Linked DNA regions of Nothobranchius furzeri. The protein of the gene in region 1 purifies or fractionates together with the protein of each later gene. This does not show direct contact. Links are inferred from orthologs where the notes say so. Each region holds a gene or a part of one and is shown on either strand. Other genes may lie near its edges. The genes, in order: pheta1 and ocrl.

What was found.
Region 2: the proteins of pheta1 (region 1) and ocrl purify together in Homo sapiens (co-immunoprecipitation; 5 studies listed by BioGRID and IntAct, counting the BioPlex papers as one, with this or other methods). This does not show direct contact. The link is inferred for Nothobranchius furzeri from reciprocal best matches to the Homo sapiens genes PHETA1 and OCRL.

Annotation. Positions count from the first base shown.
Region 1 is NC_091757.1:53,618,369-53,622,951, forward strand, and holds pheta1 (sesquipedalian-1), read right to left. Parts: upstream 2,903-4,583; 5' UTR 2,791-2,902; intron 2,427-2,790; exon of another isoform or gene 2,339-2,426; 5' UTR 2,248-2,338; intron 1,492-2,247; 5' UTR 1,464-1,491; coding exon 588-1,463; 3' UTR 382-587; downstream 1-381. UniProt on the Homo sapiens protein: Plays a role in endocytic trafficking. Required for receptor recycling from endosomes, both to the trans-Golgi network and the plasma membrane.
Region 2 is NC_091741.1:85,248,138-85,252,536, forward strand, and holds the start of ocrl (inositol polyphosphate 5-phosphatase OCRL), read left to right. Parts: upstream 1-1,329; 5' UTR 1,330-1,506; coding exon 1,507-1,547; intron 1,548-2,380; coding exon 2,381-2,461; intron 2,462-4,280; coding exon 4,281-4,372; intron 4,373-4,399. Other genes in the region: si:ch73-335m24.2 (protein eva-1 homolog C), read left to right, coding at 106-509. UniProt on the Homo sapiens protein: Catalyzes the hydrolysis of the 5-position phosphate of phosphatidylinositol 4,5-bisphosphate (PtdIns(4,5)P2) and phosphatidylinositol-3,4,5-bisphosphate (PtdIns(3,4,5)P3), with the greatest catalytic activity towards PtdIns(4,5)P2.

The DNA.
Region 1 (4,583 bases):
ATCTACGTTTTGGCAGATCCCCGGCTACGTGTGGACAGGGCCGGAGTTTCCCTACAACACCAAACACCTTGAACCACCTGATTCCTGCAGATTTGCATTTCCTCTCCAGCAGTAAATATTAGGTTCTCTCAATTACAATCACTGAGCTGGGGTCATTTTTGTTATTTTAATTTTATTAGGAATTTCAATAAACTAAGTAGATCTGGTTGCATGTGCAACTTTTTAAAAAAATATATAAGAAAATTGCTTTTTTCCCCCCAAATGAAATATACTAAATGAAAAAAATTGAGATGTGCGATTCCTATAAGAACGACTGATTTGATTGTGTCTAAGTAGTGTTTTACACATTCTGTCCTGAAAAGTCTTGCAGCAAAACGGTGAAAGAGTAGCATTTGTTTTTAGATTGTAGACAGAATAGTGTTGATTTTTTTTTTTTATCTTCTGTGGAAAAAGAAAAACCTCAGAAATGTTTGTTTTAGTGATAACACTTAAGAGCTCCAAGTGCTTTCATCTTCCTGAAACTCAGAAAGCACTGGAGGATGACCGGAAAGGAAGGTCCGAACTAAGGAAAAACGGTCCTCGCCGGCCTACTGGCTCTGAAGCCACTGTGCTCGAAGTTCCTCGACCTCTTTGCCGTACCAGTCGTGAAGTTTGGAGAAGCAGCCAGTCCCAGGGGAAACCGGGCTCTCCAGCGACGCTCCGAACCTCCGCGGGGGCACTGGTGGAGCCCTTACTCCATCAGCTCCACAGCCAACAATATTTCCAGAGTCTCCACAGCCTTTCCAGGCCAGGCACGATGAAGCTCCTTCAACAAAACCATTAACCAAGGCAGCTGGCGGTTTATTCCATGCAACTCCGTTCTCCCTGGAAATTCCAGAGATGAGCTGTACCTCATCCTGAAGGTTCTTCTGGGCAGAGCAGAGAGCGGTCATGGAAGGGGCACTCGATGCTGATGAAAGGGAAGACGAAGACGACGACGACGAGGAGGATGCTCCAGATCTGATGCGTGCTGACTGTTTCCCCCTAGAAGACTTAGGCTTACCCTGCTGGGCTCCAATCCCAGAGGCCTCCTGGATCTCCTCCAGCTGCCTCTCCAGCTCCTTCACCACCAGCTTCATGTAGTCAAAGCTGGCCCTCGAGAGCGCCTTCACCCACGACTCCATGGCAGCCTGGTTCTCTGCTGCCATCTTGTACACCCGCGCCTTTGCACAGTCAAACTTGACAGCAAAGGCAAACTCCTCAGCCGACTCGCACAGCTCCACCGTGCATCCCTCAAGGACGATGACGCCGATGGGCTCCCGGCTGTCGCGCTCCTCAAAGTAGAACAGCATGTTGCCCTTCAGGATGAACCAGCGTCGATGATAGGCCGTGTTCCGCTCGCCCTTTTTGAAAAGGAAGCCAGTCTTGTCCGGCGGGGTGTCACAGGTGGCATAGTGAGCCACGCTTCGCTCATTCAGCTTCATCTTCCCCTGTTGCTAAGTCTTTATTTACCTGAAAACCAAAAAAAGATGATGTCACACCAAGGATTTAAGGATTCTCTCGTCCGTGCCATGTGAGTCTGCAGTGTTTTATTTAAGGACGTTTTTAAATAAAGGTTTGATGGTCAGATTACAACATCAGGTGTAGTATAATAACAGGTTTGGTGTTGTACTTCCTGGTAGGTACTTTTTACTATCTGACCATCTCATCCTAGCTGTGTTTATACTTCTGTTTTAACACAGAACTGTACACCATGGACGTAATTTTCACTTTAGAAGTTGGGGGAACACGCGGGGGGGGGGTATCTTTACAGTATGCTCTAATGGGAAACAGGCTTCAACACAAACGGTTGTTTTCTGCTTGGTCCTAGAGCTCAACCAGTGTCAATTTAATATAAAGTAATATTGTTTTTGGATGGTAAAAAGTGCAGGGGTCAAAACTTGACTTCGGAAAAAGTGGGGGGGACATGTCCCCCCCCGTCCCCCTCCAAAATTACGTCCATGCTGTACACAGAATACTCTAACCAAATCAAAGAGTGTTGTTTTTGTGTCCCACACTACAAATCACACGTTCAATAGAAGGAGACCTTCCTACTTGGTAAACAGCTACTAATCCAACTTATTATAGGCTAAAAATACTTTTAAACCCTGGTAGAATATTTTATATTATTTTCCTACATTTGCCGCTACAGTTAAAAACAGGATAGTTGGATTAAATGTCTACAGTGAACGTTAATATTTTAAAATGAAATAAGTTGGTTTTACTTACATGCTCATCTCATATCCTGGTGACATCCACCCCCAGTGCTCCCATCACATCTGGACCAATAAACTCACTAGTTCTTCATATTCTTCCATTCCTCGAGAAAAGATCGTTTTGACCGGGGTTAGACACAAATCCACTCATCGTCCCTCACCCACGAGTGGACCAACAAAGATAAAGAGAAAAGGTCTCCAGGTTCTGACGAAAACGCTAACATTTAGGGGATCTAGTTGTCCTTTTATGGCCACCTCGGCTTGCTAATGGTGTCTGGATGATTCAGCCCAGCGGTTTGCTAGTAGGTCACAAGCATTTTACGCATCAGCAGTTTCCTAGACCTCATCTCCGCCGACTAAACAGTTTCATTTCAAACAAAAAACACTCCGAAGGATCGGCTGCTTTCCGTAAAAACTCGTCTGCCTGCGTGGTTCCGACGAGCTGTTGTGGTTTCAGCCACCGTGCGGGCTCTAATGTACACCAGCTGTGAGTGAACCGGAACTGGACGCTCAACTCACAAGTTATAAAAGCAGAATTTGAACAAAATAAGTGTACCTGTGGATGAAACGACTCCCTTCTGACTCCTTCACAACCTCCAAGTTGATCTTAATCGAGTTCTTCATCTCCCCTTTTGTTTTTTTTTTCCTGTCACGTGACTAGGAGAAGCATGCACTCGTTGTGTTATCCAGCTAGCTTGAGTGGGCGGTGTCGCAAACCCCCTGACCTGAACTTCATCGCCGTCGTGGCATCGCACTTGTTATCGGGACAACTGGTGACTAAAAACACGCGCACCTTGTCTATGCTCTTGGTGATTTGGTTGAAGCTGCTGCTGCATTTACTCTAAATGTGTATACATATATATGTACACATTATATATATATATATATATATATATATATATATATATATATATATATATATATATAATATCTCCAAGCCTCATTTACCAAGCTTTATTTTAAATGTTATATAAAAGGTAAATACATGCAAACAGAGCCTGTCTGCAAAGGCTAGCCATAACATATTTCACAGTTCCATATATTCAGATATAAAATAGATAGTTCCATATAAAACAGATATATGTATATATATATATATATATATATATATATATATATATATATATATGTTTTCTTTGCATTTATTTTTTATTTAAACATTTAAAATAAAGTTTGGTAGATGAGGCTTGGAGATATTGTCTTTGAAAGTCAGTAACAACACTAAATAAAGACCCTGTTGGTGACATGAAATTGCCCCCCTAGGAAAGTACAATAAATAGTTTGGTCAATTGAAAGTATTTTTCATCACGTGAATATAAATCTACTGAAAATAATGTTTTTAGACATTGTACATGCTCTAAAAGTTTGCTCTAAAACAAGTTTGCAGTTCTGGATTTATTATTGACATGTTAACTGTAAGCAGTGTTAACATAACGCAACCACTGGAAGAAAAAAAATTCTGATTTGATTGCTTGCTATCAAGTCGTCTGAGCTCTAATATTTTTTAGAAGCTTATTTGTTTAGAACAGGCTGAAACTGTTTCTTTAAGCTGAAACTCACATATTTAGTAAAGTAAAATCTGTCTCAATCTGTTTGGTAAACATATAATTTTATTTCTCAAATATTAATGTTTATTAAATTCTTTCAAAGTCATCACTTTCTACTTCAGTCAAACTGCACATTTAAAATTACCATGAGTAGTGAGCTCATTCCATGTGACTACAAGCAGCTGCATTACACAGCTGCCCTCTTTAGTTATATAATTTGTTCAAGAGTAAAAAGTAAAATATGCATTTTTTTCTTTGCTAATTTCACATCACATTATTTCTGGATCCTGGGTTAGGAACTCTCCCAACTACGTCGTTGTCCTACCACGCTGCTCTGTAACCTTGCCCCTTATTTTAATGGCGCCGAGCTGTGAGCCTGCAATGAGAATATCGTGCAGACAGTTCATGACCTCTAGCGTCTGCCATCTTGCTATCTCACCACGCTAATCTTCAGCTAACAGATGTGGCCGCTGATGCCATTTACTGTAGCTTTTCTCTTTTAGGGAGAGTTGGCTCACACTGCAAGTACGCTTTGGAGTCGATATATTTTCCTCTATGTGGCACAGGGTTCGTGGTGCTGCGACACTGTAAGAGAATTGCGCGGTTTCTCAAACTGGCAAAATAAAGGAATCAACGTTGAAATGAGTGTTACAAGTAGACACGTATGCCAACACGGAGTGCAAAGTGTTTACTTCTCACAAATTAGTTTCAAAGAGTTCAGTAAACCACAAGAAAAAATTCACTGACAGCTTTCTAGTCGTCTTTAAAACTGGTGAGGATTGAGCCCCTGGTGAGGAGCTTT
Region 2 (4,399 bases), on another chromosome or scaffold:
ACTTCAAAAACTGTCAAGACCCCTTTAAAGCATTTGCATATTGTACAGGATGAAGCAGTACAAATGTTGTTTGACCAATGATAACCACATTCGTCTCTCCTTCAGTTTTCCCGGAGCGAGTAGCTCTGTACTTCGTTTCTGGCATCTGTGCTGGACTGGTGTTCCTACTCTGCCTGTTTGGAATTCGCTCCACCATAGTGAGAGATGTTAAGGATCTGGTTTCTGACCTGAATGATCAGATAAAAGCATCACGCAGAAAGAGGAAGGAGCTCATAGACAACCTCTTCGATGAAGAAGTCTCAGACACCTCCTCCTTCTGTCGCCTCACACAGTCTTACCGTACAACAGATGTTCTCAGCCCGTCAGCTCTAACAATGGAGATGGTTGATGTGCAGCAGACGAGGGATTTGCCCATTGGAGACATCTGGCCACACCTGGACTCTAGTCCTTATGCAATTCACAAAATAAAAACCTATAACAGTTGTGTGAAGCCATATCCGGTGATTTAAAAGAGCAGAATACACACAGAGAGATATTTGATTGAATGTCACCTAACTTACACCTCTCTGAATTAACTATGTTCATAATGTAAAACACACAATAACAAGGAGTCATTGTGCTCTATTCAAACTACTATTTGTTCAGATTTGATTTGAACAAGTATGGTTTTATCCACAATGACATTTATCTTCTCTGATTTAGACTTTCTTTGTGTAAAGGAATGGACAAGGCTCAGATGAACTCTATCCATTTGATTGACTTTTCTTTAAAATATTCTGTTTCATAACTGTTCATTCTGGTGTTAGTCTCAAACAACTCCACAATAATAAAACGTTTCCAAGGAAACTGACTGAAAAGTTTTTTTAATACTCTCAACTGAATCTGTTTAATATGCAAGAAAAAAATCAAATATTGTTTTTTAAATATTTGTGTCTGTCTTGGACAACGTAATTTAGATTTTTAAGCAGAAAATATAAATAATTTGCTATTAGTTTGAAGCATTTGTTTTTGCGGCATGAAGTCGCCGGGTGTCTGTTCATCCTCCAGAACACTGGGGAGCGCTAAGTACCTTCATGCGAAGGAGTGCACTAAAATTGAAGTCTGATGAAGGCGAAGAACGACTAGTCTGGGTAGCTAGCTAGGGAGCAAACCCTGGGAGTCTTCGAAGTGTAGCATATCTGTGTGCTACAAACCACCCGATAACGTTATGTTGTCCGAGGGGTTTGTCTCTTGACACCGAGAGGGACACGAGAGAAACTGAACATTCTCATGTTTCTGACAGAATGATGGAAGTTATCAGGGGTTGTTTTAACTCCTAAATTCCATTAAACGTTTGTGAGACCTTCCAGCGGCAACAATAACAACAGCTGGCTAAAGGAGCGGTTAGCCAGCTTCCCGGAAGGAGGCCGCCACAGCGCCGGGTGGAGATTTAACTTTTTTTTTGCCTCAACATCTGCTCAACGTAAAGACCCTAAAAGTGATACGTATTTATTTATCTTGGTAAGAATGGAGTCCACGCTGGGGATTTGCAACGAAGAATGCTTGGCAATATCCTTAAAGTTGTGTTTGAATTGTATACGAGTTAGCGAATGAGTTATGAACAGCTAGCCATGTAAATACAGTTGATCAGAGGGCTAATTCACTAAACCGTTGTGAGATAGCTACTTAATGTTATTATTCGGGCTGATTTAAGAAAGAATTTTCTTTTCCACAAAAGCAGTGACACATCATTTATTGTGGCGACACATTTAGTTAATACTGGATAATTTCACCCAGTTTTATTTACCTTTCTTGTTATGTATTATGATTATGTAGCATCACATTCTATTTGCGATTATCCAGTGGTTGAAGTCACAGTAACAGCTAACACTAAGAACTGCTAAACACGGAGGATATGTGTAGCTTGTATTGCTAAAATTGCTTAGATACATATATTTTTGTTCTTTGCCGCTCCTCTACTGTACTGATGGGCTCGGTCAAACCCTGAATTCTTCCTTTCACGTCTGTGGATCTAGTGATCTAAGTCTCCGTTTTTTTGTGGATTGATCTGGCCCAGGTTTCTCCTTTTACCCTGGTTATGAAAAAGCCTCCAGGCTCAGGTTTCAAATGTTGTTTGTATAAAACAACCTGGTTTAATATTTGCCCCTGTTAGATTTTTGCTGCCACTGGCACTATTCTTTCTCTCTTATTTCACGTTGTTAATGCTTGTCATTAATTTCCTTCCTGATTTTCAGTTTGCATGGCTTCATTAACATCTTTCTTCAACTGAAGACAGACTTATTCATAATGATTTTCGAACACTGTTCCGGTAGTACTGGGTAACAGCTGTAGTTGTGATATCTCATCATCCATCTCAATGATTCCTTGATTGTGCTGCTCAAACTGTAAAAGCTCAGGAGCTGAGGTCTGGCCAGAAGGAGTCCAGGTTACTGTCACTAATTGAACACAATGGAGAGTTTAAGTAAGTATCAGAAATAACAATTACTGAAAGTATGTTGACATTGGGTTGTCCCAATGTCCCAAAGCTGTGTGTTTGTTGCTGAATCGCTTAATAACACAGTAAGGTGTTTTGTTTTATTATTGCTCCTGTTTAGTTTTGACTTCATTCAAATGAAACCCAAGTTGTTGAGAGCTGTCTTTGTCAGAGGAAGCTGCAGTTGACCTGAAGTGTGTGACCTGAGCAGAATTATATGGGTATACAGGAGCTGCTTCATCAGTTAACCTTTAACAAGTTACTTTCCTGTTCCATAATCAAAAATAGAGCTCTTAACATTCAATCGAGCTGTTATCTTGTGTTTTATGAAGTTCTTAAACACACTTTGCACTAGACTGCTGTCACACTGATGGAATCTTAAAATGTGCAAATGAAAATTCAAGTTATTTTGATGTTGACCGGGATAACCAACATCGGTCTGTGTTTTCTATCCTGAATGTCAGATTTATTTGTCTTTTTGAGTTATCTCAGGCTGGTGGCTATTTTAAATCCAGGATGTTTAACTGAATGAGCATGCCCCTTTACACACACACACACACACACACACATACACACACACACACACACACACACACACACACACACACACACCACTCTTGTCACTACACAGATTAGCTCTTAGGTGTAAAATAACTGGATGCCATGTGGGCAGAACGTGGTTTCTGTGAGCTGGACAGCTCCAGGGCTTATTTGGTGAAAGGAGACTTTGTGTGTAGACAGTAGGGAGATGTTTAATCATATGTGTAGCTTGGAGTTACTTTCACCAGCAGTAACCTCACTGCAGATTATCCAGAATTCCTTCACTTCATCTTTAGCTGTAATGAGACTCACATGGGCACGCAGGCTGCAGGCTGCAAGCCCACACAAGCCACCAAAGAGTAATGTCATGAAGAGGGAAAAAACCATTATGAATGTTTCAAAATAGACATGATTTATTTTAAATGATTGAAAGATTTTGCATGACATAAGGCATTACCTGAGGTTCATACCAGTGTTCTGTGCCTTCGGTGTGTTTTTCTGTGGTATTTGCTTTTATGCACTTCTGTACATTGGCTTGGGATACAATCAGTACCAGTTTGTGGTACACAAATTATGGGATTATTGACACAATAATCTGGATAAAACAGACAAAACTGGAGGGTTTGTCACGTCAGGCTCTAAAATGTACAAATGGAGAATAAAAAAAACCATTTTGTTTCCTGTTGAATATTCTGTTGCGTTTACATCGGAAGTTCTCATCCTGACAGATTCGGGAAACTGCTTCTGACACATTTTGCCCAGCAGTCCTGAATAATTGTCCTCTCCACTATAATCAGACCAAGTGAAGGGGAAGAGTGGGCAGTGAGTGCCCAGGAAGACTCTTTGTCCTCTGCTGTTAGTCAGATGTTAGTGAGCACAGGAATGTGACCCTGCCTACATAAACCTACATCATGCTTCTGAAGCCGTTTGTGTCAACAGTTTGATAATTTAACACTTTAATCTTCTTTATATGCTCAGTGGATTTGTATTGATTAACTGAATGATGCACAGTGCTTGCTAGTTATTGTTTTTGTTGTGTGCCACTAAAGAGAGGTTTTGCATGTGTGTTTTTTCAATTTCTATTGTTCATGATAATTAAAGCACATCTTGACTCCATCTTCTCTGTTCTAATGTTAAGCACCCTGCATGAACGTCAGTGCTAGCAGCAATGTTTTTTATATATGTGCTTTATGTTTAAGATGGAAAATCTTGATATTAAAATAAACAACAGTTGTGATAAGGCAGAATGCTTGCTGTTTCTACACAGACTGGGTGTTCTGGCCAACCCTGAAGCTGTTGTGTCCCGTCCGGTGGCTCAGTTGTCCATACCCATTAATGATAAATTTGAAATTGTACGAGGTATGTGGCTTTTCTCCATGTCGGAGT